Styela clava: one gene and its partner. The protein of the gene in region 1 interacts with the protein of each later gene in a biochemical or structural test. Links are inferred from orthologs where the notes say so. Each region holds a gene or a part of one and is shown in the gene's direction. Other genes may lie near its edges. The genes, in order: platelet-activating factor acetylhydrolase IB subunit beta-like and nuclear migration protein nudC-like.

Evidence for each region.
Region 2: the proteins of platelet-activating factor acetylhydrolase IB subunit beta-like (region 1) and nuclear migration protein nudC-like form a complex in vitro, tested with the Homo sapiens proteins (3 studies listed by BioGRID). The link is inferred for Styela clava from reciprocal best matches to the Homo sapiens genes PAFAH1B1 and NUDC.

Annotation. Positions count from the first base shown.
Region 1 is NC_135250.1:20,621,859-20,639,079, forward strand, and holds the start of platelet-activating factor acetylhydrolase IB subunit beta-like, read left to right. Parts: upstream 1-8,403; 5' UTR 8,404-8,585; coding exon 8,586-8,617; intron 8,618-10,087; coding exon 10,088-10,166; intron 10,167-10,482; coding exon 10,483-10,557; intron 10,558-11,018; coding exon 11,019-11,225; intron 11,226-12,271; coding exon 12,272-12,368; intron 12,369-12,981; coding exon 12,982-13,053; intron 13,054-15,531; coding exon 15,532-15,634; intron 15,635-16,338; coding exon 16,339-16,438; intron 16,439-16,714; coding exon 16,715-16,843; intron 16,844-17,069; coding exon 17,070-17,221. UniProt on the Homo sapiens protein: Regulatory subunit (beta subunit) of the cytosolic type I platelet-activating factor (PAF) acetylhydrolase (PAF-AH (I)), an enzyme that catalyzes the hydrolyze of the acetyl group at the sn-2 position of PAF and its analogs and participates in PAF inactivation.
Region 2 is NC_135264.1:10,088,157-10,103,873, forward strand, and holds nuclear migration protein nudC-like, read left to right. Parts: upstream 1-9,465; 5' UTR 9,466-9,590; coding exon 9,591-10,601; 3' UTR 10,602-10,893; downstream 10,894-15,717. Other genes in the region: transmembrane protein 231-like, read right to left, coding at 1,061-1,996; small ribosomal subunit protein uS15m-like, read left to right, coding at 8,146-8,862; myosin-7-like, read left to right, coding at 12,654-12,750, 12,957-13,063, 13,562-13,705, 13,804-13,960, 14,300-14,327, 14,429-14,531, 14,783-14,875, 14,958-15,021 and 2 more. UniProt on the Homo sapiens protein: Plays a role in neurogenesis and neuronal migration. Necessary for correct formation of mitotic spindles and chromosome separation during mitosis. Necessary for cytokinesis and cell proliferation.

The DNA of each region.
Region 1 (17,221 bases):
TTAATTGCGTGCAAAATTGCGTCATCAACCGTTAAAGCTGAAATGCTTTAATCACTGCAAAACGAATCGAATTAGGGCAAAACTCGGACGAATACACTTTGGTCGTCACTAGCCGCTATCACGAACTGCCTAACCTAGTCTCAAAATTTATTTAACCCCAAAAACTCAAGATTATGCTGATCATCCAACACATACATCAAGTAGCAATAGTAGCATCCTGGTAACCCAATCCTATAAACCCGTTCAGCGAATACATTTAGTATGTACGGTAAGATTAAGAGAAATTGCTTTTGCCATATTTTAGCCAACTCAAAAGTTAATTGTTGCAATAATTCAAAGCTGCTCGCGTACCACTTAAAAAGCTCCCGCGTACCACACTAGAATGAGTACCACAGGTTGAAAACCACTGGTTTGAATGGGCATGAAACAAAATAATTTCTTCAAGTGGACACAATCTTAAACATTTTATAGCTCTGTTGGTATAGTTAGCATATTCTCTTAGCACGTAAATCCCACACTTATCAGCCCCATGTGTGTTTTGTTTGAAGTAAATTAAGGGTGGAATTAGAATGCAATTCGACACTGTGTGCCAACAAAGGTCAGAAGATTAATGGCATATTTGAAGTTGTTTTTAATATGAAGCAGTTTTATAGGGTTTGGTGCTAAATTGGCTGGAATACAAGGACCAAAATTTAGCAATCTCAGCTGTGTCTGCAAATTTTAATTGGCAAATCTGTATTACCATGATTTTGTCTGTATTTTGACAAAGCTCAAATCAGTAATTTTGTTATATATATATATATATTCGACACCATTTAGTCATCATAACAGATGATAAAATATTTGATAAAACAAATAGATAGAAATAAATAGATTACAGCATCAGGAGCGCAAACAAAAACTTTAGTAAGGTTTAACACAAACAGATTTTTGATTGAAAGATGTCGTCTAAAAAAGTGGTCCGTATTCTCTCACATTAAAGTGTTGAATTAATATACACACACATATATAGTCTATAACCACAGAGAAATACAGCTGTATAGTAATTTTTTTGCCACACCATATGAATAATTGTGAGAAATGCCAAATTGAATACAGAATTCTGAAATTAGTAAACAGGAGTGAAGACATGTAAAGAAAAATGATCATTGAAAGATAGCACCATGCTGATTATCTGGATTATAGGCTAGTCTCCTAATGTTAAGAAAAAATAATCATTGAAAGATAGCACCATGCAGCCATGCGGATTATAGGCTATTCTCCTAACAGCCTAAGGTTAAATTGTCCAATCAGAATCGCCAAGTCAAGTTGGATGCATGAAGAGATGGGCTAGACATTTAGACAGCAGATCACAGTCCTCCCATTTTAAGATGTCTCGACATTCACCTGACCTTCCCTGCTGTGAGTGCACTGGGGCTCACAGCGTTTCTCTGTTTTAGCTCGCATGCAATAAAACACAGAAACGAGATGCTGAGATACCGGTACTGTATTGAGCGGTTTTTTTCAGCAAAATTTCCGTTTTTTTACCAAAAAAATACCCATGCAACATTAAAAAAATTGAGAATAGATGTATATCAGTATAAAACAGCGCTACCAATGATAATTAAAATTGACAATATACGACGTTTCTTAGTCAAAATTGGCGTGACGGTGTGGCTCATCATGCTAAGCATCACTGCATCAGGAATAGTCCATGCGGGTCTTTCTACTTCAGTACTTACTTAATAGAGCGCAGAAGAGAGGGGAACATTTTTCTTCCCTTATTTATACTATTTGCTTCCCTGAAATTTTAAACAATTTGATGGGAAACAGTATACAGTGGTAAGGAATGATCACAAGTTTATATCAGTTATCTTCAACATCTTTAAATAACCCAACATGACGCACCCTAACCTGGCACACATACCTACTGTGCTCAGGCTGTGCGCCATCTTGGTGCACATACTTCTGGAGTTCCAAAATTTTTTTGATTTTGCTCATTGGTGTGCTCATATTGTGTCACGTCAGGTTATTTAAAGATGTTGAAGATTACTGATATAAACTCGTTATCATTCCCTACTACAGTACTACTGTTTTCTGTTTCCCATCAAATTGTTTAAAATTTCACGGACGCTAATAAAACAAAAATGTTTCCCTCTCTTCTGCGCTGTGCTCTGTACGTAAGTAGTAAGACCGAGTCCATGCTTTCCTTTCCCCCGAGATAAATATGTTAATCCTATCCTAGGGTATACTGGTATAGGGTGGCTTACCCACTTTGCGGCCAAGACCTACTTGCGACCATCAACTTCATCGATTAAATTAAGGCCGAAAAAATTAACGAACCGAGACGATATTTCTCACGCGTTCTCGTCCACTTATCCTTCGTAGCTCTGCGAAATTACACTAAAATGCGGCGACAAACAAAAAAGTTACGACCGAAAACCCGACCGAAGAAAAAAAACGGACCATTTTTCCTTGTCGCCAACTGCCCATTGTCCCTTTGAAAAAGCTTGAAAATCCATACAAATATGAGAGATAAAAAGTTGAAACTTGGCGGGTGGGTAGAGTTCTGTTTCTTTTAACCATCTTTAAAGTTTCGCGTTTCTACATTTAAAGGATGGGGAGTAGGGGGGTGCGCATTTCCAATACGTCGATAATAGCATTGTCGACCAATTTGCGACCACCGCGTTTTTGTTTGTTGGATTGCTGTAATGCGGTGCTTTGTTTATAATTTGACGAGTTTTGTTCGAAATAACCTTGTTCTTAAAATATAGGACAGTCAGAAATGCAATTAGAAGCTAATTTTTTTTACGCATGGCTGCGTATGCCCTAGTCTCACGCAGCAGAAATGATGTTCAAGGCTTGAAATCCGTGGTTGCACACTGGTCGTTCGGTCGCAAATACGTCTTTAGAGTGTCGCACTTTGGTGGTTTGTATAGCTTTAACCCCTGGTCGTAGAAAGTTAATTCGAGGTTTAGCATGTAGAAGAAATGCCCATGCACCTACGGTGAAAAAATAAACGGGTTAGAAATATTGGTTTTTGTTTTATAGCGGTTTGAATGAAATCGTCCGCAGACTGGCTACACCACCCTATGGCCGTTTAAAATTATTGTCCGAAGTTTGGAACTGTCCGAAGTAGCCACTTTTACGGTAACAAATAGGGTACTGAAATACCAGAATACTGAAATAAGACTCATCTGGTCCTTCTTTACCATTGAGATAAAGCTAGCCGTACGGTACCGGTACGGTAGCCATTCAGTCATTCGACTTCCGGGACTAAAGGACTACGTACCGGTATCAGACTATGCACTGATGCAACTAGGCCTACCGGTATATCATAGTTACCGTACCGTACATCTGTATATGTTCATTCGCGTGCAATAAAACGCGGTAACTTATTGCTTTCTGTAATAGTTGTCGTCTGTTGATACGGTCCCGCTGATAGTCAGAAATGAAAGATTCACTAAACCCACTTCGCAATCGACAACCGCAAGCTGCTAAAGCTAGTCAGCCGGTCAACCCATTCGACTTCCGCGTTTGGAACGTCATATCGAGGGGAGATCCCAAACAGCAATACATAGCGATTGCATCAACTAATACAACCGAAATATAACGAAACCTTCCGACAGATTTGGTCAAAGGTCGTTGGAATGTTTTTTTCTTTCATGAAAGGCGTAAAGGTTACATTAGCGATAAAACTGAATTAATGTTGACTAAATATATTTTTGCTTAGTAAGATATAGTATAGCAATTGCCATAATATATAAAATTGAGAAAGGAAAACCTTGCGATCCTACCAAAACATGCAAGTGGGGCAAAGATCCCGGATAATCACGATCCCGAAATTTTGGCTCATTTACTTGTTAAGCTTACCATACGTCCCGGTTTAGCCGGGACAGTACTGTTTCTGGCGAGCTATCCCATTGTCACGTCCAATGGACCAGTCGTAAAAATTTCTTTTTATTCAATGCACCGTGTTTCTCCGAAAATAAGACCTACCCTGAAAATAAGACCTAGCCTGAATTTTGAAAATGATTTTAATATAAGTCCTCCCCAACGACTAACATACCGTCCTCCCCGTAAAATAAGACCTAGTGAATAACGCGAATTTTTTTTTTGACCTAGTCGATATCTCTTCTACGCGTTTTAAACTGAATGATTGATAATAATCGATGTTTTGCAGTTATTTTGAATAAAAACGTTTTATTTATAAGTAAAGGAATATCGGTTTCCATATTTTGTATATATGAAAATCTCGTAATTCTACTTTGTAATTTCGTTTTTGATGAATGCAAATATAAGACATCCCCCGAAAATAAGCCTTAGTGTTATTTAAAAAAAAAAGTGAATTTAAGACCCAGTCTTATTTTGGGGAAACACGGTAGGCAACCGATTTACCACTGATTTGCGACTTACTTTACTAGTTAATTGCGGGAACTTGATTTCTTAGCATGCAACTGACAGACTTAACCTGGTAAAAAAAAACTTGAATAAATAAATGTACAATTATTGAAACACTACTGATAAATTGACTGACCCAGAATAGCGTCACACAAAATGACGGTGAAGATGCCTGTTTTTGCCAACCGAACGCAATAAAAGTTTCACGCCGACTAGTATGTTTTATCCCAATTATAATTTCTGTGGTCGAGTGTGGCCCACACCTAGCCTACTACCATGCTGCGACGTCCCTGACTTTAATTCAATTTAATTCGTTTATTGGCGCTCCAGAAGTGTGTGTACCAATATGGAGGTAACTAATTTTGTTCGTCTTTTGAAACCTATGGGAAGGGGTATATTCACTTGGCTAACATAGAAAGTCCCCATCGTGGTCCATATCATATAACACAAACAAATCATTGTAAATAATTTTGTTAAATTCCATATAGACTACAGAGGTTTGTGCTATTAATTCCACGCTTATAGATATTGTTTCCATAAAAGTTACGCTGTCACGCGATTTAATTATCCGTTGAAATAAAGGGCGGTTTGCAACACTAGTGGCACGATTGCGGTCTGATTTTGTTTCTTGGGCGAAATATAATTCAACTTATATCCAGTGGTGGGATTCAGTTGGCACGCACCAGTTCTTAGAACCGCCTCACGGAATTTTATGAGATCAGCGAACCGGTTAGCATTACTGGTTACTGTCAATGTTCTGTTTGTTCTGAAAAATATGATATTTGAGAGGGAACGGCTGACAAAAAAATTGAATCCCACCACTGCTTATATCCTATCTCATCGTCCGCATTTTGGTAGTGTACGTTTCTAAAATTCGAAAAATGGGATTTGGGTTAGAACGTGATAATATCTGTTTTGTGTACTTTCTGAAGTATTGAACTGGGGAAAAAGGGTTGATTGACAACCAAGCGTCCAAAGCTTTTGTCCTGGCACCATCTTTCTACGACTTTCTGCGAAACCAGGTAAATATACGGATTGTGGTTCCAGTCCCATTGTATGTCCCTTAAAATGGCAAAATAAATATCTTGAAATTTTTTTTATCAACCTAGCTTGATGTATCTTTTTGTCCATCTTTGCCAAAATGAGTGGAGAATACTCCCGTTTTATTAGCATCGAAATATCTCAATTGAACACCACCGCACTAAAGGCACCGAGTTTATCAGCTAGTCGAATTCTACCCATTGAGGTTTATAAGATTCTATCCAATCTTGAGCTTCTGTGTCCACTTCATGTGGTACACTTTTTACAAAAACAAACTTTCATGTTTCATCTGAACTGAATTGATCAGCACGCTATTGTATACCAGTAGTGAGCGCCTTGAACCAATGTACACCTGTAAATTCAGATACACTACAGTATAGTTTTCTTGATAATTCGAGTCACTCATACACTTGAAAACACAAAACGGATCGCTGCGGCTTTTTTCAGATCTTGTATCAGCAGTGCAATATGCATGGTGGTGATTCGTAAATAACAAGTCAAAGATAATAGATTTTTCTTTCTATCGCATAAGTACTGGCTCAAACATTTCAGCCCGAATCAGGAGTCCTTTCTTCGCAGTTTTATTTTTATTCTATTTTTCTTTTATTTAACTCTGTCAATCGACGAATGAAAGGTAAACAAGCAGTCCGACCTAGCTAAAGGTAATTAATTATGTCTACAAAAGAAACATGTTGACGCTTCAAGCTCTTTTTAGGAAATAAAAATTGAACAAGTGGATAGTATAAAAATAAGTGGGTGTCAGGATTGATGATAATCTAGGCTAAAATTCCCATACTAACCCACTGGTCAAGAATTTATCGCAAACGGCTGGGACGCATTTTTAATTTCAAAACGCTTAAATCGGTTCCTTATTATAGTTTGTTTCACCCACGACTGCAATATAAAATTCTTAGTAAGGGTCAGCGACAAAATTCGTCATTACAGTTAAGTAAGTTTTACAAAATCAAGTTTTAAGGTGGGCTACATATCGTTTTCAGAGAAAGTTTACTGTAAGCATGAAACTTTGCAGAGGATGGAAATGTATTCAATGAAAAAATGCAAAATCTATGCGTCGACATGAAGATGATCTTCAAAAGGGCCTTTAATCACTATTTTATACTTTCAAATAATGTTCATAAATATGATATCCGTCTTAAAAATTTGGGTTTTATTTCACGACACAGGTTTTCCTTTCGGAGGGAAATATATTTAAAATTCAAGAGAAATACAATTCAAACAAGAGAGCTACGCCCAAATATATGGACACGTCTGTTCGCAGTACAGTACGGTGTACCGTTACTAGCGTACCGTCAGATCACAGTCTACAAATATATTCACACCAAGCGAAGCAGTACAGTAGGACACAAAATGGCGTCCGATGAACGCAGAACGTTTAATGACGTCATAGAAAACAAAAACAAAATCTCACAGAGCTAACAGGTATATTTAAAATGAATAAAAGTAATAGCCTTCTGGGGAAAAATTTTATCTTCAACCACTGAAAATTTCAAAGCAATCGGTCCAGTATTCGAAGAGAAAAGCGGATTTTTAATATTTCCACTAGGTGTGTTATTCTGTGTCAAATAACAACAAGAACATAAACAACATAATATTGAAACGATCGTTATGTTCACTACGTGTCCAATAATGTTGTCCATGTGCTGGGTGCTGTATTGAACGCTATCTGAAATCAAAAATTCATCTCATTTTCACATTTCATTATGTGCATTGAAGTGTAATTTCAACTGCATGTATATAGCCTCCAAATTATATACCCTCCCCAGAATGAATGTTTTTGTCCTCAATACAATTTACTCAGTGGTGGGATTTAAGTTATTTGTCAGCCGGTTCCATCGCAAAAGTCATATTTTTCAGCCGGTTCTGAGTTGGTGCGAACCGGCTGAATCTCACCACTGAATTTACTGCTAATGGCTGACTTTCTTTTGTAATAAAACAACATCAGGATTTTTATTATTGAATCCTTACTAAACAGCGCCAAGGCGGCTAATTTGACCAGGAATTTAAGCCTGATAAACTTTCGGGCTCAGTAGCCTGCCCGCCCTGCCGAGTGCCGACAAAACGAAGACCGCTAGAAGTTTTGATATGAATATGAAGCATGTCCGATCTCAAATGTTGCATGACATGCATTGTCCATGATCCGATCAAGATGGCATTGCCCTTGTCATGTTTAATCAAGCGTGTAGATTGACTTGTCACGTGACACATTGACTGTCGTTTTCACTATATTTTTGGAAAGATTGCTTTGTTTCGGTTTAATCTGGGGTACGGTATCTGTGCGATAATGCAACGACAGCTTGAGTCACGCCCTGTATTATGTTTAGTACCACTGGAGGACATCCACTGCTAAAAGTAATTTTCAATAATGCCACCTTAGTATCAAAAGATGAATTTAACGATAATTTAGTTTACCACAAATCTGTCGTATGGTTTATAACGTTGACAACAATCCGACAATTGCCAGATTGCTGAGTGAGCCAAAATCTGAAGCTGCATTTACTGCGGATACTCGAAATTTTTTGGTATAGTTTATATGGCAGTTTGGTGTCATTACCATAACACAGTACCGTAACATTTTTATGTCATTGAATAACAATTTTGCAGTTTTGGTTAACTGCTGTCAGAATATCCTCAATCAAAGTGACTGGTAATTGTTATCACATCTCAGTCTGTTGGCCCAACAGTCTGCGATGTAGTAAGTTGTGATATCTTTATATCCACGGGTTGTTGAATTGAATGGCTAAAGGGTAAAATGTATCGGATTACAGGATTAGTGAAAACTGGAAGTGAATCGTATTTGATTTTTAATTAATATGTCTTACATAACCATACATGGATAGTAATATGTTTGGAACAAAACGGTTGGTAGTTTGGAGCAAACGATTCAACTTGCATATCTAAAACTTTGCTATTGCGTTAAGCTGCTACATTTTTTCAAAGTTTTGCTAAATAATCTCAGAATCTGCCATTTTGAATTTGCAGATTAAGCTTTATTATTCCTTTAGGCAATTGTAATTCTGTAGAAATTATAATTCGTATGGATCATAATTGAATATTCAAAGATAGTTTTTAAAGCTGTAAAGTTAGATCGCCAGTAAAGTAAGAAAATACTGCAGTATCGAGACAACTTTCGGCATGCAGTGAAAATGGTTTTATCATCAAGACAACGAGATGAGCTGTAAGTTCTTGAAATTTCATGTTCTATAACCTGAGTAAATCTGCAAAAAATTGCAAATGATTAATTCCGATCCAGGACTTCAACCTACAGACCCAACTGGCTAAAGAAGTACCGTAAAACCGGCTAACTTCGGATGATTTCACTATATTTTGAACAATATCTCCGCCGCATGTTGTTCAACTTAAGCCAAATTTGGAATATAATACATTGTGGCTATTCTCGTCTTGATAAAGTCGGTTCCATATCCATCAAAGCCTTTTTTCATTGAAATTATTGTCTTTATTCGTCTATTCTAAAATTATCTAACTTCGGATGGCCACTTTTCTCTTTGCGTCAACTCGTCGTGAGAGAGAAATGTCTGCGTAAGCAATGACGCGTGACAACGTCGCTGAATAGTCCTTACGCCGCCACGACCCGTCTTGCGTGTTGCATACTGACGTTTGTACGTGACGTTACTCTTGCCGCTTCGCGAAACTTAACTATTTATTCTTGTGTCCTTTATTATAACTCGTATATATTTCACTAACTACTCCTAATTTATTGCATACGGTATCTATCGGTGTCGGAGGAAGTATGCAAAAACAAAAATCGACAAATTTCATATGCATTAAGCGTATGCATACCCATATTTTTAAATAAACAACATATGACTGAGACGATAGTGATGTTTTTGTAGGATATAGTGACTAGGATCATGGATAAGCATAATTTTTAAATTTCACAAAACTGCCGCGATGTCTGGCGTTCAAATGTCGCAGCGAGTAACGCACGAGCTACGCAAAGTGACGTCGGCTACGAAGAGAGAGAAAGGGATTTGCGTCGTTGACGTCACGCTGTACGTAATCATCAAAACGTCGATATTTTGATGTAATTTTTAAATCAAAATAATCGATTTCACTCGAATCTCGTACGACACCTTGTGATCACTGTATTTTTTTGTATACATTGTGTACGCTCTCTAGCGCTTGGCGGTGATTTGACGAAAGTAGCGTCTGTAGAAGTCACGATTTGAGCCGCTTGAAAAAACGGTGTCATTTTTTTGGTAAAATATGATTTTTTGAATGATAAAAAATCAAATCGAGCGATTGGAGGCTACGGCAGATTCAGATATGTAAGGCCTTACTATAGAAACCGACAGAAGCGCAATACGACGAAATTTAGTTGAGATATGAATGATTGAAAATTTCATCCGAAGTTACAAGGCATCCGAAGTTAGCCGGTTTTACGGTATCTGACATACTTCTGTACTTCTTGCTTCGATACGTTTCAACTGTTTTAGTCTTAAAATCCCAGTATAGTAATTTTGATCTAATAATAGATCTAATGATCTACTAAAATAAATAAACTTGAATTTGCATAAAAATGGCTGTAACATTTTTAATCCTTGTTACGTTCTGTCTGTGGTAACATTCTGACATTTGTGCGATACATTCACTCTCGCTTCAATTACACAAATAATTATATTTTCAGAAACAATGCCATATCAGAATATCTCCGATCAAATGGGTATGATAAAGCCTTCAATGCCTTCCGAATGGAAGCCAACTTGGTAAGTTTTCTTATTTTCAATATTTTATAATATAGATAATTAAAAAGTATCCTTGATAACATGAGTTTTCCACATGATCATTCGAATTTTGAAGTCCCAGTGCATGGATTTAAAGTAATAGTATTGCAGTAATGTAGTAATGAATATTGCTACCAATGGGTCAGAGGAACTGGAAAAGGTAAACAAAACTTGATAAGTCTTATCTAATTAGTTGTTTGATTGTATAGGTTTGTTTCTTAGTCCCAGTGTGGATCATCTCATTATGATTTGGTATTGCTAGTTGGCCTTTGAATCATGAGCTATTTTTTTTTTATAGTCTGAAAATATTGACAAGAAATATGAAGGACTCATGGAAAAGAAATGGACATCTGTTGTTCGTTTACAGAGAAAGGTAATAATCAAGAAAGACCAAAATAATGATTTAGGATTCAGAATCTATTTAGCAAAATAATTTTCAATATGGAATATCAGATAGGATCTTCCACACAACAGTGAGTTCACTGTTTTCAAGTCATTATTCATATAATTTGACATTAAAATACAGAAAGATAGAGATAAAAATAGTGTTGATTGGTTAATTTAATAATAATATTGCCCAATACTTAAAAGAAACATATCTCAAAGAACAATATTATCACCGGTAATCCTAAATTCGAATCTACTGGTATTTGGATCTTGCTTTGGATATCCCTAGTATTGTTTAATATTTTTGAATTCTCATTATAGTTTTGATGATGAGCAATTGTGGCCGCATTTAATCACATACTGTGTTGATGTTGCAGATTTTTTCATTGCCGTATAATTTCAAGTTCTATTTTAATATCTTAATCTTTAAAATGTTCTTATATTCAGGTCATGGATTTGGAATCCAAATTGAATGAATTAAAAAATGAAAGTAGAGATGGAATTGTCCCAAGAGATAGAAAAGATCCGGCAGAATGGATACCACGACCACCGGAACGTCACTCATTAAGCGGACATCGAACACCGATTACGAGAGTAGTTTTTCATCCTGTGTATTCAGTATTTGTATCTGCTTCTGAGGACACCACAATAAAGGTCAGCTAAAAGTTTTCAATATTTGTTTAATTTTTTCTAGTGATTAAGTCTTGCTGCTTACTATCACAGATATATTTCTGTAACGTTTCGTTCCAAGTGCTGAGGAAGTATTATATGCATACCTGAGCATAGAAGAAGGATGAGTAGTTAGTCCCGCAGAAACCAAATCAAAAGCACATTATTAAATTATTGCTACTTTTGTAGTTGATTCTCTTGTTTAATAATCATAACGAAAGTGAATTATCATGAATGGCAAAATCTAATAGTTTATTATCCCAAATAATATATATAATAATATTCTTGAATTTTGAATATATTCTTTATTGTTGGATCATGTTCAACAGAGAAATTTGCAGAAATCAAATTTACAGAAATGTGTGAATTTATTGAAATTGAATTAGGTAATACAGTCTATACAGAATATTTAGAATAAGCACTGCTCACATTGATAAAGGTTTTCCAGTGAAGGGAGGTTTAAGTCTATTTACGTCTGAGCATCAAATGTCAAATGCCTAAAATAAAAATAAAATTTAAATATGTATTTTCTAACCATTCATTAAGCTCACGCATGTATTTATTATATTGAATCTCACTAATTTCAAATATATTCAATTTGTTTCGGATATCCTTAGTTCCAATTTTTGTCTTCATGGTTATATTTAGCAAATACTATTTGTCTTTGAATTCATTTATTTCATCCACAAAAAAGTATTCTCATAATTTCTATCAGATTTCTTCTCTAAGCAAAATCAGTAGGAGTTTTTATAATTACCATACCTAACATTTCAACAGATGTCTGAATTTCCTCATATATACATTCTTATGTGCTAGGTAAGGAGCTACCATAGATTGAGGGACCAGAATCTTTCCATTTTTGCATTGCTTTTCTAATTTTACACTCTGGGTGAGATGGTGGGCATGGGTTTTTAACCCAACATTTTCACCTGACATGCCATCAAAGTAAAATCTAAAAGTAAAGTTGACCTTCTTAATTTTCAATCAGTTTTATTGCAATCTCATTTGAATTTTTGATTATATTTATTCAGGTATGGGATTATGAAAACGGTGATTTTGAAAAAACATTGAAAGGACACACAGATTCTGTTCAAGATGTTAGTTTTGACAGTTCAGGAAAACTTTTAGGTTAGTATCAATTTTGATATGACTTGATTCACCAAAAACAAAGATCGTCTTACCCCCAGTAGGTCAGTTTACACAATGGTTTGCTCTGCTCTTCACATCATTTACAATTTAGAAAACCTATGAGTGGTTTGTCACGTTTATTTGAGTGCAATAGTTGGCGTTGTTCAGACTGTATCAAAATTGAAATATACAATCTGTTGGAATATCATTTGTATCCAACATTTGGACTCAATGTATCTAGATTTTACTTTTAGTAATCTATTTCCACCTTGCTCGAATACTCACATTTCACATCAAAAGAGGTTGACAGCCTTTAATTCTTGTACGTTGGTCATATCAACTTTCCAAAATTTGAATATAAATGAATATAAAGAAATTCATCAAGCATTAAAATTTAATTTTTTTTACTGAGGTGACTTTTCGTGTGTGTCTACCTAACATTTGTTTCAGAATTCCTCTGTATGTATGTATTAGTATTAGCGCTTTATAATACTAGCAATTTCAAATCCTTTATTTTTTTTTAAATTTGGCTTATGTACATACATCCTTTTAAATTCATGCCTTCCTTATAATACAAATTACCTTGATACAAATCATTTTGTTTGTATTTTAGCATCTTGCTCTGCTGATATGACAATCAAGATTTGGGACTTTGACGCTTATGAATGTACAAAAACTTTACATGGTAAGACATCAGTGGAAGTTAATAAATTTTTCAGTTTTTTTAGATACTATCATGATGTGATATATTTGAAACTAATTATGTATTCAAATACATTTAGGATTTGGTTGAATATTGGTTATAAAGTTGAAGTCATTTGAAGTTGTTACAGTTCACACACGGAGTTGGGCAAAGTCCGAAAATCCTTTTCGCAAAACGCCGCATTGAAAAAAACTATGTACTGTTTTTAAAAGACCATATTATATTCTTACATTTAGTATAATATCCCAAATTAAAGATTCGTAAAGAAATACATTAGATGCCACTTGCTTTCAGTTAATATTCATGAATAAAATAATGTCAATGCGACTGATGTATTATTTGATGACTGACATCAATCAATTTATGAATCAATGCGAGAAGTGAGATTTACTAATTTTCAGAACTGACTGCGGATTTGGGTCAGTAATAAGATTTCTCTTAATCTGTTCTGTGAGAAATTTTCACAATATAGTCTCAAATTAAAGGGGGCGTACAAAATGCTTTAATACTGTGTTGTAATTTAACAATTGTATCATGAATTGAAATTGGCAAATGGTATATTTAAAATCAGATATGCAGTCAGACTTATGTCTAGTCATATATATATTCCACTTCTTTTCTCCTCCAAACATGACTTACTACTATATTATGTAATCAATATCCAAGATTTATAAATAGTTTCAATATTTGAGCCTTGGCCGGCCCCGATATTCTTCAAATTATGCTTACACTTTGAAAATCTTTTTTCCACGTAGTACCTTTAATAAATGTATAATCATATGCATACCTACATCGTGAATTGGTGTTTGAAAGAGATACCATTTGAAAGTGTTATAGACTATAGTAGAATTTGCCTGCACTATATGCCTGCTGAAAACACTCCCACCGTTAGTTTAAATTATTTATGTGAAAAGAGTTGTTTCTTGCATAAAGAATAAAAGGTGACGCAACTAACGTTAGGAATATTGTTTGCATGAAACAAGATCAGTGTTTAGGATCTTCATAATAATTCCTATTTAAAAATTATTTTTCAAATTAAGACTTTGTTAATAAAATTATGAAAATATATAAAAATCAATTTCGAATCATAATTACTGTGCATGAAAGATCAATTCAGAATAATAAAAACGTTAAAATTTTATGTAAAATATTATAAGGTACTCTGGAATATTGTAAGGCAAATAATTTTAGTTTCCAATTCAAATGGACTGATTTCACTGAATTTCCACTTCACATTTATGTATTTAATTCTTACGGAAATTTCTAGGTAACATATGAATTTTTCCAAACCAAATCAGGAAAATACTGTTGGGTAACATAATTTGTGATTTATAACATTTAAAAATGGTGGATTTCTAGAAGAACAAGTTATATTGTTTAAAAAGTAAAAATTGACGTTTATCTGAGGATTCCAAGGAGTTCAGTTCAAACAAAATACAAACCAAAAAAATTTCCATTAATTCTTACAGATGAAATTGCTATTTTATATAAAATTTATTGGTTTTGCACTGCAGTTATTAACAAAAATGTTATGTTTTTTATGTAGCAGGCTAGGGTTCCATTACATTTGAACCCACGACAATTGCACCGGCATACTATTGCACCTATGGATTTTTTTTGTTTTACGAATATTTGAACCCAAACTAACCCTAACCCACGGGTTTTAGCACCCGCATATAGATTGAACCCACGGATATACACATGGGTTCAAATGTACGGTCACCGTGGGCTATATATAGCTCTTCAAAGTACTGAACTATTTGGATATAAACATGTCCACAGGTTCTAGTATTTGTATTTTAATCATCAGAACCTGTGCATAAATAAGCCAAGTAACTTGGATGTCATTGAAATATTGTCTTTCCTAGATAAGAGTAACCTTTTTGACCTTGTTAGACCATTAGTTTGCTTTGGAAGTAAGGGCTTTCAATCCTTTTGTTTGTGTATATTCGATAATGGATAGCATTGTGCCTTTTCGAATTAAAATATTATTGTAGCAATGGTTTTTGTGCTTATTATGAATGATAATATGAAAGTAAATTTATTTCGATTATATTATAATATTATATAAACAAATGGAAAACCTTGTATTATATGGATACAAGACAACCTTCAAGCTTTTATATTCTTTCTGAGTTGTGGGTAGATCAGAAACTAATTCAAATTACAGTGCAGTTTATGATATAAAATATGATATATAAAATTCAACTCAATAAATATCCTGAATAAATATTTTTGTTTTTTTTAATCGAAACAATTCAGTTAGGTGATTTTCTAGAATTGTTATATATTGACTTGAATTTCATAATATGGAAAATAAAAAATTTAACTTATCAGTTATTAAGAAAAATGACATCTTCCAAATAATAACATCCTACATTCTTTCACTATATCAGGTTAATTCTTTCTGATAGTGTAGTAGGGATAATAAATGTAACATAATTGTAATTTCTATTGCAGGACATGATCATAATGTTTCATCAGTTACGTTTATGCCAAACGGGGATCACTTGATATCAGCAAGTAGAGACAAAACAATGAAACTATGGGAGGTTGCTACAGGGTATGGATTGAAAAAACACTTTAAATTTCAACATTTTCTTTCTATAACGATTCAAAATTGAAGCAAAAACTAAATACAACTGAACCTTGATAATCTGAATTGGGACTATTCTTGGGTACATCTGAAAATTTATTTTGTGTGGCTTGGAGAATTGTGAAACCTCATTATTTTGCATTTGATGGTATATTATTCAAAACTGTTCCAAACTCGGGGATGGACATATTTGAATAGAATTATATCTTTCCACATAGAAATATTCCAGATCATTGGTTCTCAAACTTTTTAAGCCGCGCCCTCTCAAAAAAGTTGTCTCTGCCCCATCATTAATTAAAGAACCACTGTTTTAGATTCTTCTTAAAATTAAAAATTAACTACCGGTACATAGAACATAATTCATTTTGAATGTATTGAAATATTCGATTATTTGTGGACATCATTGGTTGCAATTCATGGATACGATTGATGAGGGTTTCTATAACCAACCAGTGACTGAAAGAGGTATATTATTCTTAGTGTGCATCACTATCTCCTGGGATTTTGCTCGCCAGTACATTGATGAACGTGCCTAACTTGACACATGGCCTTTCAAGAAAATAATAGTTATATTTCCTTGAAGGAAATCAATACTCTGCTTTCATTCTCAATATTTTTATTGTCTTAAGCTTATTTTTAATACAAGGCATCGTGTGTTTTTTGTTACACAGGTACTGCATTAAAACATATCTTGGGCATCGTGATTGGGTTCGAATGGTTCGACCTAATGTTGATGGAACTTTACTTGCCAGCGCATCTAATGATCAAACGGTACGTCATTAAATGGAACTATTTATGTATTTGAATTATTTACCAACATATTTTATCACAGCTAATTTGTTATGTAGACTCAAGATAGCATTTTCTATTCATCTTGGGGAGATAGAATTTTGATAAGACAGCTCGAAAATATGGTGAACATTTCCCTCTTGTCTAGCTATCGCCCTGTGCCTTGCCTGGTTCACACCGACTTAGACTAAAAGCATTCTCTGGCCCAATGTTAGTTTCATTAATATTATGATTTATGAATTGATATTTTAAAAATAGGTGAGAGTTTGGGTAACCTCAACAGCGGAATCTAAAGCTGAATTGCGAGAGCACTCTCATGTTGTGGAGTGTATATCATGGGCTCCGGCTACATCGTTTCCAAATATTTGTGAGGCTGCTGGAATTGAGGTGAGAATTGGTGAATTTTTTGAATTCTTTAACGTTTTGTTGTCATTAAGCCATCCATTCAATTTATTTATTGTATAAATAATTATGAAACACTTTGTTTGAACAAAACTCAAATTTTATACAAATACCGCCTATGTACCCACCAGATGCAATATTCTTTGAGTATGCCTTACTACATATCATCAACTTATCTTCAATTGATTAGTTCTCACATTTCTATATTCAGACTAGAAAAGACTCAAAAGTTGGACCATTTTTGGCTTCTGGATCAAGGGATAAATCTATTCGTATTTGGGATGTTTCAACTTCACAATGTGTATTCGTACTTACGGGACATGACAATTGGGTTCGCGGTTTATCTTTTCACTCAAGAGGAAA
Region 2 (15,717 bases), on another chromosome or scaffold:
ACCGGGTTCGTTGGATGTAAAGGTTGATTGGTCATTAATCCATGGGTGGACTACCTTAATTAAGTCGAGAGAAAGACATTTTGCTGTACAGTATTCCTGAATTACACAAGCTAAGATAATGGCATGGTGTTCCCAACTGTGTGACACCCACTCAATGGTAATTTCTAATGCCAGTTTCCATGAGATTCATTCACCCTTCAATTTTCATATTTGATTGTAAGTTTTTTTTTCATTGTTACAATGTGCATAAACATGGCCAGTCCCCGCACTGACCAGGTTTCAACATCCCTCTTGCGTTGCATTTGCGTAACAAAGATATACCGTAAGCAAGAATTCAACTTTTTTTGTAAAAATATATTCATATTCAAATATTAGGTATCACTAAATAAAATACCTTGATATCAAATTACGTTCAATTGCTAATCAAAATAAAACCATTGGTTTATCAAAATAATACAACCAGAAATGAAATTATTCCATACTGATACTCTATTGCAGTAGAAAGAATACTTTGTTATAATAGTTTTGAGTTGATTTCCAAACCCTTTTTTCTGAATTTCATCAGTTAAAATCAGAACCGACACCAAAATTTTTATAGTCAAAAATTAGTCTTCCAGTGTCTGGTGTTTGAGTTTTACTTTTCAAACTAAAAAGTCAGGAAGCAATATGGCCACAATATTTGTCAAATGGAATTTATTGTTTCTGACTAGCTTGAAAGTCTTGACAAAACCTATCTTCGACTTCATCAGGACTGAGCTGGAGCCTTGAAAATTTCTTGAAGCTGAGGCCAATCAAGCTACCAGAAGTATTAGTGGCTCCAGTTCTGAAGAAGCTCAACTCCCAAGTTAGCCACAGTTTGATTATACTGGAGCGAACCATTCTGATTTCAAACCAAATATCCGGTTCTGAGTGTGACATGTATGCTTGAGAGTTGAGTAATGAATAAGTTTGATATAAAAAAGGGTCAGGAATCCAACTAAAGCTTCAGTCACTTGATATTCATGTAAAACAGAGATGTTCACATCATCTAAATAGTTTAATCTAAATTCCACTCTACATGCTAAAGTCCTTTTATTATCTTCACTTTTGGTTGTTGCACTACTGTATTGAAGACATTTCCTTCAAATACAGTTCTATTAATTCGTTTAAACACCCATAAAAAGAGCAACAAAATGGTGGCATATTGGACCCATCCCCATTTGATTAATTCCCAAAATCCAGGCTGGTAGGTTATCACTTCTGTAGGATAAAAGACATCAAGTTGTAAAACAAAGGGCTCCGTGGGCAAACGCCCAGGCGACCATACACTGTACGAGTTTTCAAGTCTTGTGGTAATGTTTCTTTGGGAGTAGTTTTTTAGGATAGTAAATAAATCATAGCTTGAAGCAAAAGTGCTTGTCGAATCAATGATAGGAGTATTGAATCTAATGTCAGTGCCTCTGTGATATAACGGCACTCTTTGATACAATCCAAGATCACCAGTCACCTTCGCCCCCGCCCCACCTAAAGCCGAAGATTGTGATACGTAAACCATGCTCTCCATTTCAAATGTTGACATTCTGTATAACTTGTAGTCAAAGATAACCAGAAGGTGAACACTAACAACCTGTTCTGAAGATGTGAGGGGAACACTTATATTAAGCGAGAGTTGATCGTTAAGACCATCACGATTATTATCAAGTTCAAAGGAAGACACCTGGGGAACACGTAAATTGCCTTGTAATAAATTGTTAAAATTTGCATACGTGCTCCATGCAAAATATTCACCAGGGTTTGCAAGTTCCGCCACAATAAGAAGTTGTTTCTTATAAGTGACGTCTGGTTGTTCTTGATATGTGTTTGTTGTAATCCAAAATCCTTGGCTTCTGTATGCAATTAGCAGAGGTGGTATGAAAGTTAAAACTAACACTGCCAGGACATAGAAGGAAGCTTTCGACCAAACACTCGACTTGTATCGATACAATGCAGGTAATGAGTAGATCTCAAACACGGCCATCTTGAATCTAAGAAAAATAAACAAGAAATAGCTGATGAAAATAAAAAAATCATTACAGAATCAGAAAAGCGAATAAAGTTGTATGTACGGAAGTAAGGTTTAAAACATACAGAATTTTAACAGAATGGTGTCGCTGGAGGTAAACTGGGGGTTCAGGGATCCCCGGGGGTCCGTGACAACTGCACAGGGTACGAAACGATACGAAAAAAGTCTGATAGATATTTAATGATTGATTTCAATCAAAGAGCAATTGCAAATTTTTGGTTGAGCGTTGCGGACGAATATCCATTGCTGTCAGAAAAGGCAATTAAAATTTTATTGCCTTTTGCAACGTCCTACATGCGTGAGGCAGCATTTTCAACTCTTATAAATATGATGACAAAATACAGGTCAAGACCTAGAATCGAAAAATTTTGCAGTGGAAAGCAATCTAATCCATCACATTAATGTCATTTGTGTTATAAATGGAAATTGATACATAGCGCGTATCCATCAAAATTAAGATTCTCGAATAGGGGTCCGCAGCCCAAAAAATTTGGGAAACTCTGATTTATATATTATGCAAAAATAAAAAGAATATATTTGCCACTCCCACACCTATATCTGTATATCAATGATTTCTGATTTTTTTTTTAAATTTCTCAATCATTGACTACCAAATCAATAAACACAAGTAAACAGAAAAAATGATATTTATCAAAAATATCGCCAAGCTAATTATTGTTAAAGTTTACTTCATCCAAATTGCCCAGACAGAATTGCCAAAGGTGGCAAGATCACCTTTCACTTAAACATATTTTAAACTTACCAGTGATCTTAGGAGTAATGTAGAAGTCAGGTACCAATCTTGGATGTCAATTTAACTACCGTATATCACTAACATTTTACTAAATTTAAGAGAAACTGAGAAAGCCCACAACAAAGTTTTATTTTATAATTGGCTAACCGCTTGAAATAATGTACACAAATGCAAAAACGGGGAAATTTTAATCACGTGGGGCTAGTAGAGAGTCAGAAGTAAAAAAGATGTTAGGTAACACAGGTATAAATGAACGATTTTTAACTACATTATTTCAAAACACATAAATGAAATTTTAAAAATTATTCAAATTTATGACATCGTTTTACATTTTAAAATTGGTAATGTGTTTGACGCAGAGTGGCAAGCAGTTGATGAACAGTACCGGATAATAAGTTTAATAAGTATAAGTTTATTTCGACTCCATAATCAGCAAAACAATAAAATGAATGCTAAAAATAAATAAATAAAAACTGATTATGAAATCAGGAGAGCGAACAAAACCTTAGATAAGGTTTAAAACGTACAGAATGTATATAAGATGGAAGGTTTTGCCAAGAAGATGTGGTACGTGTTCACTCACCTAAAATAATTGAAATATTTCACACACGCTCACACGCACCCACACACACAACCATATAGAAGTTATTAAGTAAAGGGAACATGAAAAATTACATACTGGTAGTTAATAAAAAATAAATAAATAAAAATTACTTGCCACACCATATTAATAAATTTATCATGATTGCCACTGCCAAATTGATCAATTTTATAAATGGGAGTGAACAGTAAAGATAAACTTTTATAAAAAAATATATTGTCAAGCTGATTATAGATGGAGTCAAATGCCAAAATGCCCAACCAAAGTTGCCAGAATTGGGTGCATGAAGAGGTGGGCTAGACCACTTCATTGCCCAAACTAGAGCCTATTATTGCCAAATTGTAGTCCAGATTGCAATAAGTATTTAAATCTATCAGTAACTTTATAAGTATGAGTAATTATAATTAATTAAGGTAGAAAGACAGGGTATAGGAATATGTTGGTTGCTAAGGTTATAAGGTTTTTTTTTTCATTCTTAGATATTGACTTCTGCAAGGATAAAGGAATTAGGAATAAAGGAATTAGTATTGTTATTTCACAGGATCATTTCTTCATTTAATTATTATGGCGTAATAGGTTCAAGTTTATCGTGGATGAGACATCAGCCTGCGAATTTTGTTGTTGTAGACACCATTTATATTCAATAAACTAGCCATTGTATTGATCATCACAGAACGACCTGAAAAACAGAAAACAAATCTGCGAGTAGGATATTCAAGGGTTACATATTTGGAAACAGCACTACCCTACACTTTTGTTTAGAATTAATTATTATTTCGAGTAGATATTGATTATTAGTTATCTATCTATAAAACGCTAGTTCAAAGACCAGAGTTGAAATATGGTTGGGACACAGGGTGAATTCCTCGCAAACCATGCAGAAACTCTCAAACCACACTGACCATTCGTATGTTGGCCTTCACATCAACTTCACAGCAGAACCTCAACCTAGGATAAAATTTTGTATACACACAAAACAAATCATAGAATACCACAACAAATTAAAATGAAGGGGAGAATCCAATATATCTCCACTGGTCGCCTAATTACAATAATAGGTACAGGAGCTAAACTATACGGTCTACAACCCTCATAAGGTATCACACCACCCATATAGAAACAAAGATCATGCATGTGTAATGTCAAAAATCCAACGTTAAGCAAAAAGGGAACATGCGCATGCAGATGTCAGAGTGTAAACAGCCATTTGAAAAATAAATAAATAAAATAATTTGCTGTGCATGCTACAGAACCCGACACACCAACAATAGATGTAGAACAGGTGGAGAGAGATTAACTGCCGGCTCAACAACAATCAGCAGCTGCAGGAGCAATAGCAATATTGTAGCTGTTTAATATTTTCATGAAAATAAGTATGTGCAAGTGAAGAGTGTCCCAACTTTCTATCATGGTCATTCATGAAGGTTCAATATTTTTTGTGTCCGAGCTATCAAAACGTTGTAGCTAATTTCATACGAAAGAGTATATATATCAGTGTGGTTATGGGAAAATAACTTTTAATATTTGGATACCAAGTACGACTTAACTTGTTTCTGAAATGATTTTTTGGATTTTAATGACTTCAAATTCAAGGGGAGAGAGTTCCATAGCTTAGGTCCATTATAGCATAGGGCATGCTGGCTCACAGATTTACTCATAAACGGTATAAATAAATTGGAATTACTTCTTCGATTGGAGGTGGTTTTGGTTAGTATGTCGTCAAAGCAGTTTGACAATGAGTTGTCATGAAAATCATAAACTAATGATAATACTTCAAATTTCATTATGTCTTCAACCTTGAGTATATTTAGCGATTTATAGAAATGATTTACGCTTTCACGTTTACTTTTCCTAAAGACAATTCTTAAAAAATTATTACAAATGCTTTGCAATTTCGAGACAAGTGTTTTATTACCATGGAGCCAGACTGAGCTACAATATCGGATATGACTTAGTAGTAGAGATTGAAACATTGCTAGTAAAGCTGATTGATTAACGCACTGGGATACTTTAGCAGCAACTGCCAAGTTCCTTTTTGTTTCACCAATAACATGCAACATTTGTGATTTCCATGATAGATTTTCATCAAAGATAACTCCTAGAAATTTTATTTCTTTCACTCTTTCAATTTCATTGTCATTGAGCAGTAGTGGTTTTGAACTACTCACACTTTTATGCTTGCTTGGGTGGAATAATACAAATTTAGTTTTGTTAGCATTAAGAGATAATTTGTTAACCAACATCTAGCTATGAATGTTGGTTAGTTCTTGGTTTGCAACTGTGAGTAGATCTTCAAGGTTTTTCCCATGAAGAATCAAGTCAGTGTCATCAGCAAACATGATCGACTCAGAGGATTTCAGACACCTGGACATGTCATTAATGTAAGCTAGAAAAAATAATGGGCCAAGTAAAGATCCTTGTGGAACTCCGTGCTTCATGACACAAATATTTGTAGAGAATGAGTTGTCATATTGCACAATTTGTTTCCTGTCTTGCAGGTAGCTCCTGATCCAATTGAATGGGACGCCTCTAATTCCATAGTGATAGAGCTTACTTAAAAGGATGGAATGGTCAATGGTGTCGAAAGCTTTTGAAATATCAAGAAATATTCCAATTGCATGTTGTTTGCTTTCAAAGGCCTTGGTCAGTTTGTGTACCAAAACATTAGCAGCCATAGCAGTGGAGTGATGCTTGCGGAAACCAAATTGATGAGAGTGGAAAACATTGTTAGTTTCAAAGAAGTTTGACATTCTACTATACATTATTTTCTCAAGAATCTTAGAAAATGATGGTAAAAGACTAATAGGTCTATAATTTCCAAGATCTGAAACACTACCCTTTTTAAATAGAGGAAGAACTTTAGATGTCTTGAAGCTTTCAATGAATAACCCACTAGATAGTGAAAGATTAAATATATATGTCAGGATGTCAATGATATGTTCTGGAACGTGTTTCAATACTTTGAATGGAATACCGTCAATTCCAAAACTTGACTTGGGCTTCATTTCGCGTATAATATTTTTTATTTCTAATGATGTAGTTGGCCTTAAAAACATGGATGAGGATTCTTGCTTTCCAAGATATGAAATGTAATTTTTGTCACAGCCAGCTGGTTGTGGCATACAGTCGAGCAGGGTTTGTGCCACTTGGGAAAAGTGTTCATTAAATTTATTTGCAATTTGTGTATTACTGCAATCGAGTCCAATCAAAGGACAAGAACCTGTTTTATTTTTACCAATAAGTTCATTAATTGTTTTCCATACTGCCTTGATGTTACCTTTGTGAGAGGCAAATTTAGATTTGATGGATATGTGGTAACATCGTTTTTTGAATGCAATGCGTAATTTTTTATAATTCGCTTATTCAATTAATAAAAACGGCATGGCAATGTAATGAGAGGGACGAATAAAATTTCTCTGATTTGCGCAATATTGTTTTTACGGTCTGTGGCCAACCGGAAGAAACTCCATACACCACCAAACAGCTTTGCCAATGCATCATGCTGGCAGCGATTTCGAAAATCGACGTTTCGTGGTCTGTTCAGCACATAGGATAGGATAGGATAGGATTTACATATTTATCCCGGGGGAGAGGAAAGCCGACAAGACGGCTTATCCATATGGCGAACCACGGCCTCTCGTCCGGTTACCATTCCAAGTCGGGTATGGGATTAGTTTTACTGTATTGTTTGTTTTCGGAAGCATGGACTTGGTGGTGGAGGAAGCCGTAACCGACCAGCGGTTACGTGAACCACCCAACGACGGCGAGGAGTCCAGCAATCCTCTCGCACATAACCATCCCTGCATGGGATTCGAACCTGCGAACCCACGCAGAGTAATTAGAGGTGCGGTGGCGAGCGTATTCCTAACGCTTAGCCCGTTGAGCCACACCGCCGCGCCACATTACAGCATTAAGGTGTATCCAGCACTTTCTTTCTTTTATTTATTTTAAATTTATTATTTGTTCATAATCAAAATGTTTTGCATACTAATAATGATGTTGGGGTTGATATTTACCGAAATTTCCAATGTGTGGATAAGTACCGGCGGTGTACTGCTGGCGCGGCGGTGTGGCTCAACGGGCTAAGCGTTAGGAATACGCTCGCCACCGCACCTCTAATTGCTCTGCGTGGGTTCGCAGGTTCGAATCCCATGCAGGGATGGTTATGTGCGAGAGGATTGCTGGACTCCTCGCCGTCGTTGGGTGGTTCACGTAACCGCTGGTCGGTTACGGCTTCCTCCACCACCAAGTCCATGTTCCGAAAAACAAACAATACAGTAAAGACTAATCCCATACCGGTACCCGACTTGGAATGGTAACCGGACGAGAGGCCGTGGTTCGCCATATGGATAAGCCGTCTTATCGGCTTTCCTCTCCCCCGGGATAAATATGTAAATCCTATCCTATCCTACCGGTACCGCACCGGTTGAGTGAAAAAATTTTGAAGGTTTACTGGGGTCTCCCTAAAACCAGGCACTTGCGAATCCTGGAACTTTGATATATTTTTTATTTTTACTGTACGGTACCGGTCCTGAAATTTAACCGTTCCGCAAGCCAACAAGCAAAAAAAGGGTGAAAACCACTGGTCTAGGTGGCCATACAGCCATATTTTGCGGCGGAGAAACTAAAATGATTGATTGATTGAAAAATATACTGGTAGGTGTTTTGTTTGTGTTTTACAAATTATTTTCTGATTTTTTCAATGCAGTGTTGTGCTAGATCAGGTGACAGTTTAACAGCCTAATAACCATGTTACAGTCATTAAGAGTGACGGTTACTAATCAGATTCCTCTGACTATTCTCAAAGTCACAACAAATTCATGCATTTCATGTCGAACCAGGCGTTCAGCAAAACAAGTTAATAACGATATTCCAGAAGAAAGAAGACGCATAAGTCAACTTGATGACTTGGATGAGACAATGCTACGGCCACAATATAGACATATCGAAGCACTGAAAACCGCCCCGGAAAATGTGCGTAAAATTTTTACCCTAGAGTTTGGTACAAAAGAGGAAAAGTTGGAATCAAAATTTCTTCAATATGGTGAACAATTGCAAAGACACAAATATGACTTTGATTCGCTTGAAATGGAAATCGCTGGTCTAACCATCACAATTCGTAAAGACCAAGAGGAGTATGTGAAACGAGAATATTTAAGTGGATATCTTGAAAAAAAATTACAAAGAAAAAGAAAACTCAGGAACGACTTGTTGCTAAAACTGAGACAAATGAATTTTGAACGATATTGTCTTGTTGTAAAAGTTTTAGATATAAATCTAATACATTGGCCTGATTATGATGTTAAATTAACGAAGCGTGCTGAGGAAACCATGGATATGAAATTCCGGACTTTCGCTGAAATCGAGCGGGAAAAGCATGAAAGTGCTAAACGCAGAGATGAAGTAGCAAAACTCCAAGCAAAATTTGAAGAGAAAATTAAATCAGGAGAATTAGTTATACCATGATATACCTACTCTTGTAATCCTTGGTTAATCATAAATCAACCACTTCCTGGCTTTAAAGACATGATAGAGTTTTATTCAACTTTGAGCCATTCATTAACTTTAGGTGGAGTAGAATAGGAAAATTTGAGCTCAGGTTATGGATTAAAAATTTTAACTCAGACTCCAGCTATACTTTCCAAAACATAATTGCTTGACCTCTGCTTTCTGACCCTAATATTCAGTTTAAGAAACTATTCAAGTGATCCGACCTCTGCTTTCTGACCCTAATATTCAGTTTAAGAAACTATTCAAGTGATCCGATTACAATAATTGGTGTAATAAAGATGAGATAATTGAAACAATAATAATGTTGTTTGTGGTATTTTCACATTGTCAAGTTGCACTGGGTGTGCTGGATGTCTTCGTAATATGAAATATGTAATTCTCCATTTATTTGAAAAATGCAAAACTGTTAGTTCATTATCTATTTGACATTCTATGTTAGAGACTTCATGCCTCCATCATTCAAGCGGTCAATGCCTAGAGGTTTGACCAGAAATAGTGCAGTCTTTTTAAACTCAATAAACATAAAATTTATTTTAATTTTTTAGATAAATATTTAGCCCCTTTACAACTGATGAATATTGGTTCATCACCTTTGAATTGCTTCTCTGGCTTTCTTATTTTTCTAATATGATTCGTTTCTTAATATTTCAGACTTATTAAAGAGTAAAATTTTAAAAAACACTATGGCACAACTCACCAAACAAGAAGAAGATTGGGATGGTTTGTTAATGCACATTGCAACACAGCACCAAGGTGGTGTTCACCAACTACTAGACACATTTTTTGCGTTTTTGAGACGAAAAACAGACTTTTTTGTCGGAGGAGAGCCAGGAGATGCGGAGAAAGCTGTAATCACTGCGATGGAGAGACAACAAAAAATAGCACTCAGTAACAAAACGAAAAAGGAAGAAAAAAAAGTGAAAGAACTGAAAAGGAAAGAAGAGGAAGAAAAAAAGAAGCAAAGACAAAAGGAAATAGAGGAAAGCAAAATAGTTGAAGTTACGGAAGAAGAAGCACGACAAATACAAGAATCAGCGAAGAAAAAAGAAAAGGAGAATTCAGTAAATGTCAATAGTAAAATGGAAAACGGGGACTCTGCTGAAAAAGAGGTAAAAGAAGAAACCAAGAAAGACAATGAAGAAGAAGAAGAGGATGAAGCTGATAAAGGAAAACTTCGACCGAACGCTGGCAATGGTGCTGATTTACCAAATTATTCTTGGACACAGAGTTTACAAGAGTTGGAACTAAAAGTGCCATTCAATGTGAATTTTCCTGTGCGATCGAAAGATGTTGTTTGTGAAATCGAACGCAAACATTTGAAAGTTGGTCTAAAAGGTCATCCTCCTATCATTGATGGCGAATCGTATGCGGAAATTAAAGTTGATGAATCATATTGGACAATAACAGACAGAAAAGCACTCCTTGTTAATATTGAAAAAGTTGATAAGATGAGCTGGTGGAGTCGACTTGTGACCTCTGACCCTGAAATCAATACACGAAAAGTCAACCCTGAGAATTCCAAGTTGAGTGATCTTGATGGGGAAACAAGAGGAATGGTAGAAAAGATGATGTTCGATCAACGTCAAAAAGAAATGGGTCTTCCGACATCGGAAGAACAAAAGAAGCAAGACATGTTGAAAAAATTTATGGCGCAACATCCGGAAATGGACTTTTCGAAAGCTAAATTTTCATGATTTAACCCTAAATCCATATGATGAACCTGGTATCCTCATAAATGCAACAGATGGTTAGATAACCCTAATCATATTCACATGAAATTTGTGATTTATACTTTGCAATGTATTATTTTGTAACTGTATGATATTTTACATTCCATTGTTGAATGAATAATCATACATAATCTGTAATTTAATTGCACAAATGCTGTCAAACTGAATATGATAGAACTGTTGCATATGTTGATGATTGGTCTCAAGTTTTGAGAGAATGAAAAGTTTGTTATTAAATGCTTCATTTTTTTATTCACATTTTTCTGGTCATTCTTCTTACTACTGCGGGTTAATTCAGAATTTTTAACTGTATATCAAGTGGAAATGTTGAGTTTTCAGACATATGACAATTTCAATGCCGTCAATGGGTTTTTGTTTGTTTGGATAAAGTAGTCCAAGACAGGTAAATTCATTTTAAACTGCAATGTGAGTGCACCAATAACGACGAGAAGTCGATCACATTCAACCTTTGTAATATTAGAGTAGTTTAAATTAAGAGCCCTAGGAGAAGTATTTTAAGATTAAGTGCCATTGGTTATTTCTAATAAAATTTTAGTATACACAAATGACATATTACAGCTACTTGGAAGTTCATCAAATTATACTCCGATGCAGGTGTTACTAGGATATTGGGTGTAGTTTAGTACCACGTGTACTTCAGATCGTGCCACAACCATTTTTGTTTGTTATTCCTAACCCCACCTGACTACGTCATCCGAAAATTACGTCACTACGATTTCACGATACGATAGAGCTTGCCAAAGTATCGCTGACTTACAATCGCCACAAATGGAATCTGCGCCGACGATAACGAATTATCTCATATCGGGGTCGATACGACGAGAGAAATAGATGGTCATCGGCTCGTTTTGGACGATAATCCGTATATTTTTGCGGGCCCTAGTATGTCGCAGTGACGTAATGTGGTACTTAACTACACCAGACCAAACCCAGACGTGTACGAACCGTTGAATTACAGGTTTTCCATTTTTCTTATTCAGTTCGGATCGATATGTGGACGTTAAGTTAGCACAAGGATGCTTGAACGCAGGAATTAGGATGACGAAGATCCTGTTTTGTTTGCACAAATTAGACTATAACATAAACGGAAGAATACAGATATCTTGTGGAGAGAAGTTTTTTGAGTTATTTTTGATTATACTCAGATGATGTTGTTTTATCATCGCATTTTTGTTACACTTCCGTCTCATTTCTTCATTCCTTGTAGCCAGTTTATCGCTCCGGTTGTATTGTATGTGTGACTGCCCGATGGAGACAGAAGACTACACCTCTAGTCCACCTCCATGTACAATTAGAATATCGCTCAACGGAAGGTGCGACAAAACATCTCAGCTGTCTGACACCTCGTAAAACAGTTGTCGAAATGTTACTTCGTGCTAAATGGAATCGCAGGTAAGGAGCGAGAAGACTATCTTAAATAATAAAGTATCTCGTGTTCAGAATATTATTCACATGTGTGTGTCTTGTGAGTAAGAAGTCTAATAAGCGTCGTAAAATGTACTAGGATTTGTTGCGAAATATTTTTAGCAATACCAGAAAGGGCAGTCCTCTTCAAACGCGACAGGAACTATGTATATAAAAAAGTCGAAAACAGCATAAAAATATTTCTTTAGCTTCATGATATCATTAATCTATTATTCATTTTAGAATGTTTTGCTTTTGGTGTTTTTTTGGTTTTTATTCAATTATATTTTCAAGTACAATCCCAGTAATAAGGAATAGTAAGGCACGTGCGCAACGGATACTATTAATACAGAGAAACAAACAACTATATATATATATATATATATGTATTTCGCCAAGATGTAGATGAAATAATGTGTTGTTGCCGTCAGAACTTCGATTGCCTTGTTTATGTTTGAAATAGACTCGGCCTGCTTTCGATTGCTTCGAGTTTGTTTTCAGTTTACTGTTAATCTTAAAATTTCCATTGCAGTTTATCGAATATTTCGAGCAACATTTCAGTCTAGTAAACCTAATCAGGAACTTATCAACATGGCAACTTTGGACCTTTCTATGTTTCAAGATGCAGCACCGTACCTTCGCATGTCCCAGCAGGAATTATTGGAATTGCAAACTCAAAAACCCGACGGTAAGCGCAAAATATTTTGGTGTAGCCATTTTTGGATGGTGTATTTACACGATTGAGAAGTGCTGAAAATTGCAGCTGGCATTTCTTAACTCTTGATGAAAGAAATCAATTGAAGTCGTTTAGGCAGATAACAAAGCAATTTTGTTTCCGGAAGGGGCGTGTATTGAATTTAGAAATTTAGATTAATATTCTGTTTATTTTTACAGGTAAGAAATACGCTTGGGTTCCCGCCGAGAATGACAGTTATTTGAGAGGAGAAGTTCTTTCAATTGAAGGTGGAAAATGCAAGCTAAAATCTTTAGACGGCGAAAAGGTTTGTACACAGATTAATGAATAAAGAAATTAAAAAAAAATTATCATTGTCAAGTTTTGTAATATATATATATATCCAATGTTGGCAATATTGAATGATCATTGGTCAAAATATAATTTTCGTCCTAATTCTCTTAGCACGAATCGACATATTCTTCCGATGCAAATTTCATATATAGCAACCTTTTTCATAACAAATGCGAAGATTTGCAAATAGCATGCTAAATGACATCCTACGTAGTGGCTTCATCGGTTTTAAACAATTCAAGCTTCAATGCTGAGAAAATTTGATTTTGATTTGAAAGCAGCAACGACTATTTTCTTTAAATATTCTAACTTTTTTATGCATTCATGCGAAATCAACGCTATTCGACATTGGGTTCCATCGAACTTGAACCGGCAATTCCAATACTGATCTCTGATGATATAGAATTTTACAAGAATTAATTTCTTTACATTCCATATTGTTAAATAACTTCTTATATTTGTTTGTATACAGGAAGTCACATTGAAAGAAGAAGACCTTCAGCAAATGAATCCCCCTCGGTACAACAAATGCGAAGACATGGTTAACATGACCCATCTCAATGAAGCTTCTGTACTGAATAACTTGAAAGATCGTTATGAAGCATTCATGATTTACGTATGTATTTATGATATCAGAGTAGGCCTAGTTATCTTTTTCCGTTAGTTTGGAATAGCTACTAAAGATTTTATCAATCTACTTTTACTTTTTTTCAGACGTACTCCGGTCTTTTCTGCGTCACTGTCAACCCGTACAAGATGTTGCCAGTGTACGCACCCTACGTCATCCAAGCCTACAAAGGAAAGAGGCGAACTGAAATGCCTCCTCACTTGTACTCTATTGCTGACAATGCATACACCGAAATGTTGATGAGTGAGTTTAAAATTTGATAAAAATAACCTTTATAACGTTAATAAAAATAACGTTTATACGAAAACTTGAAAAATTTCTCTTCATGCATTTGCTAATGAGTGAATTTGAACTGATACCTTTCATTGCTGATTGCTTAATTAAATAGTTAAAATGTCAATTTTAGGGGGCTGGACGATTTTCTGTGCCCATGTGCGGACGCTTTACTTAGACAGCATGCTATACCAAATATCGTCCTACACTCTACAAGTCAATAAGTCGCTTCACATGAAATTATTTTGTGTTGTTGATTTGTCTATTTTAGAAATGATTTTTACTAATAAACGTTTTCATCATTTTTAGATCGCGAGAATCAGTCTATGTTGATCACGTAAGTTTGTTTTTTATAAAATCAATTATCAAATATCAATGTCTTATCAGTTGTTTTCAAAACTAAATATTCAATTCGAATGTTTTTTATTTTATTTTCAGTGGTGAATCTGGTGCAGGAAAGACTGTCAATACCAAGAAAGTCATCCAATACTTTGCTTTGGTTGCTGCTACTGCAGAGTCCATGAACCAGAATAGTGATAAGGTGGGCTGGGCTGTAATATTGAGTTACAATTAAATATAAACATAGATTCTATCGGACTAAAGGGATTCTCATCTAGTTTTCGATTTGTGTTCTCGTCTCCTGGTTTAGATTGATAGATTAGTTCACTAGATATGGAGTTATGTTTCAACTATTTGCCTTGTAGCATTTTTAATCGTATCAATGTTGTTGTATGTCTTTAACCATTTTTTTGGTCGTTACAATTTGTGTTTTAATCTTCCGCTTTCCTTCAGGGCACTCTCGAAGATCAAATTGTTCAATGTAACCCCGCTATGGAAGCTTTCGGTAACGCCAAAACAGTAAGAAACGACAACTCATCCAGATTCGTAAGTTTTACATTTGTTATAATTTTATGGTGCAATAAGTTTGATTAATGAAAATTTCAATATATCAACTTGTTTTGTTCAGGGTAAATTCATTCGAATTCATTTTGGAAGCAGTGGAAGTTTGGCCTCGGCTGATATTGAGCATTGTAAGTACAATTTTCCCACCCCATTTAATTACTGAAGATCCTATTGAAAGTAAATATTAATAAATTAATCCATTTTAGACCTGCTCGAAAAATCCCGTGTCATCTGGCAACAAGGTGGCGAACGTAATTACCATATTTTCTACCAAATCATCTCCGGATCAAAACCAGAACTTTTAGGTGAGTTTTAAAAATTTGCAACTCTCGAAGAAGAAGTTTTTATTCATTTCATGACGCATTGTATTCAATTAATATAATTTTATTTTATAGACCAACTTCTAGTGACAAAAGACCCATACGATTACAAGAGTATCAGCCAGGGTGTGGTAAAAGTTGACAACTTGGATGACGGCGAAGAACTTTTGTTGACCGATGTGAGTCTTCCTCATTTATCATTTCCTAATTTTTAATTCTCCTCTTTTCACCTTCATTTGAACTGGGTCCAATGAAAACTTGATCCTCTTTACATTGTCCTATTCCTTTCCTTTATCATCATCATAATTTTGTTCTTACTCTTATTCTCTTCTGAATCGTTGCTTTCTATTCTCTCTCTTTTTCTCTATCTTTCATCTTTTTCTCTTTTATTGAGAAAAGCAGATTTTCTCTCGAATTTTTCATTCTCTTTTTTCATCTCTTTTATCTCGTTTCTCTCACACTTTAACGTTCTTATCTTTACTCTCTCGTATTTAATTACGTTCT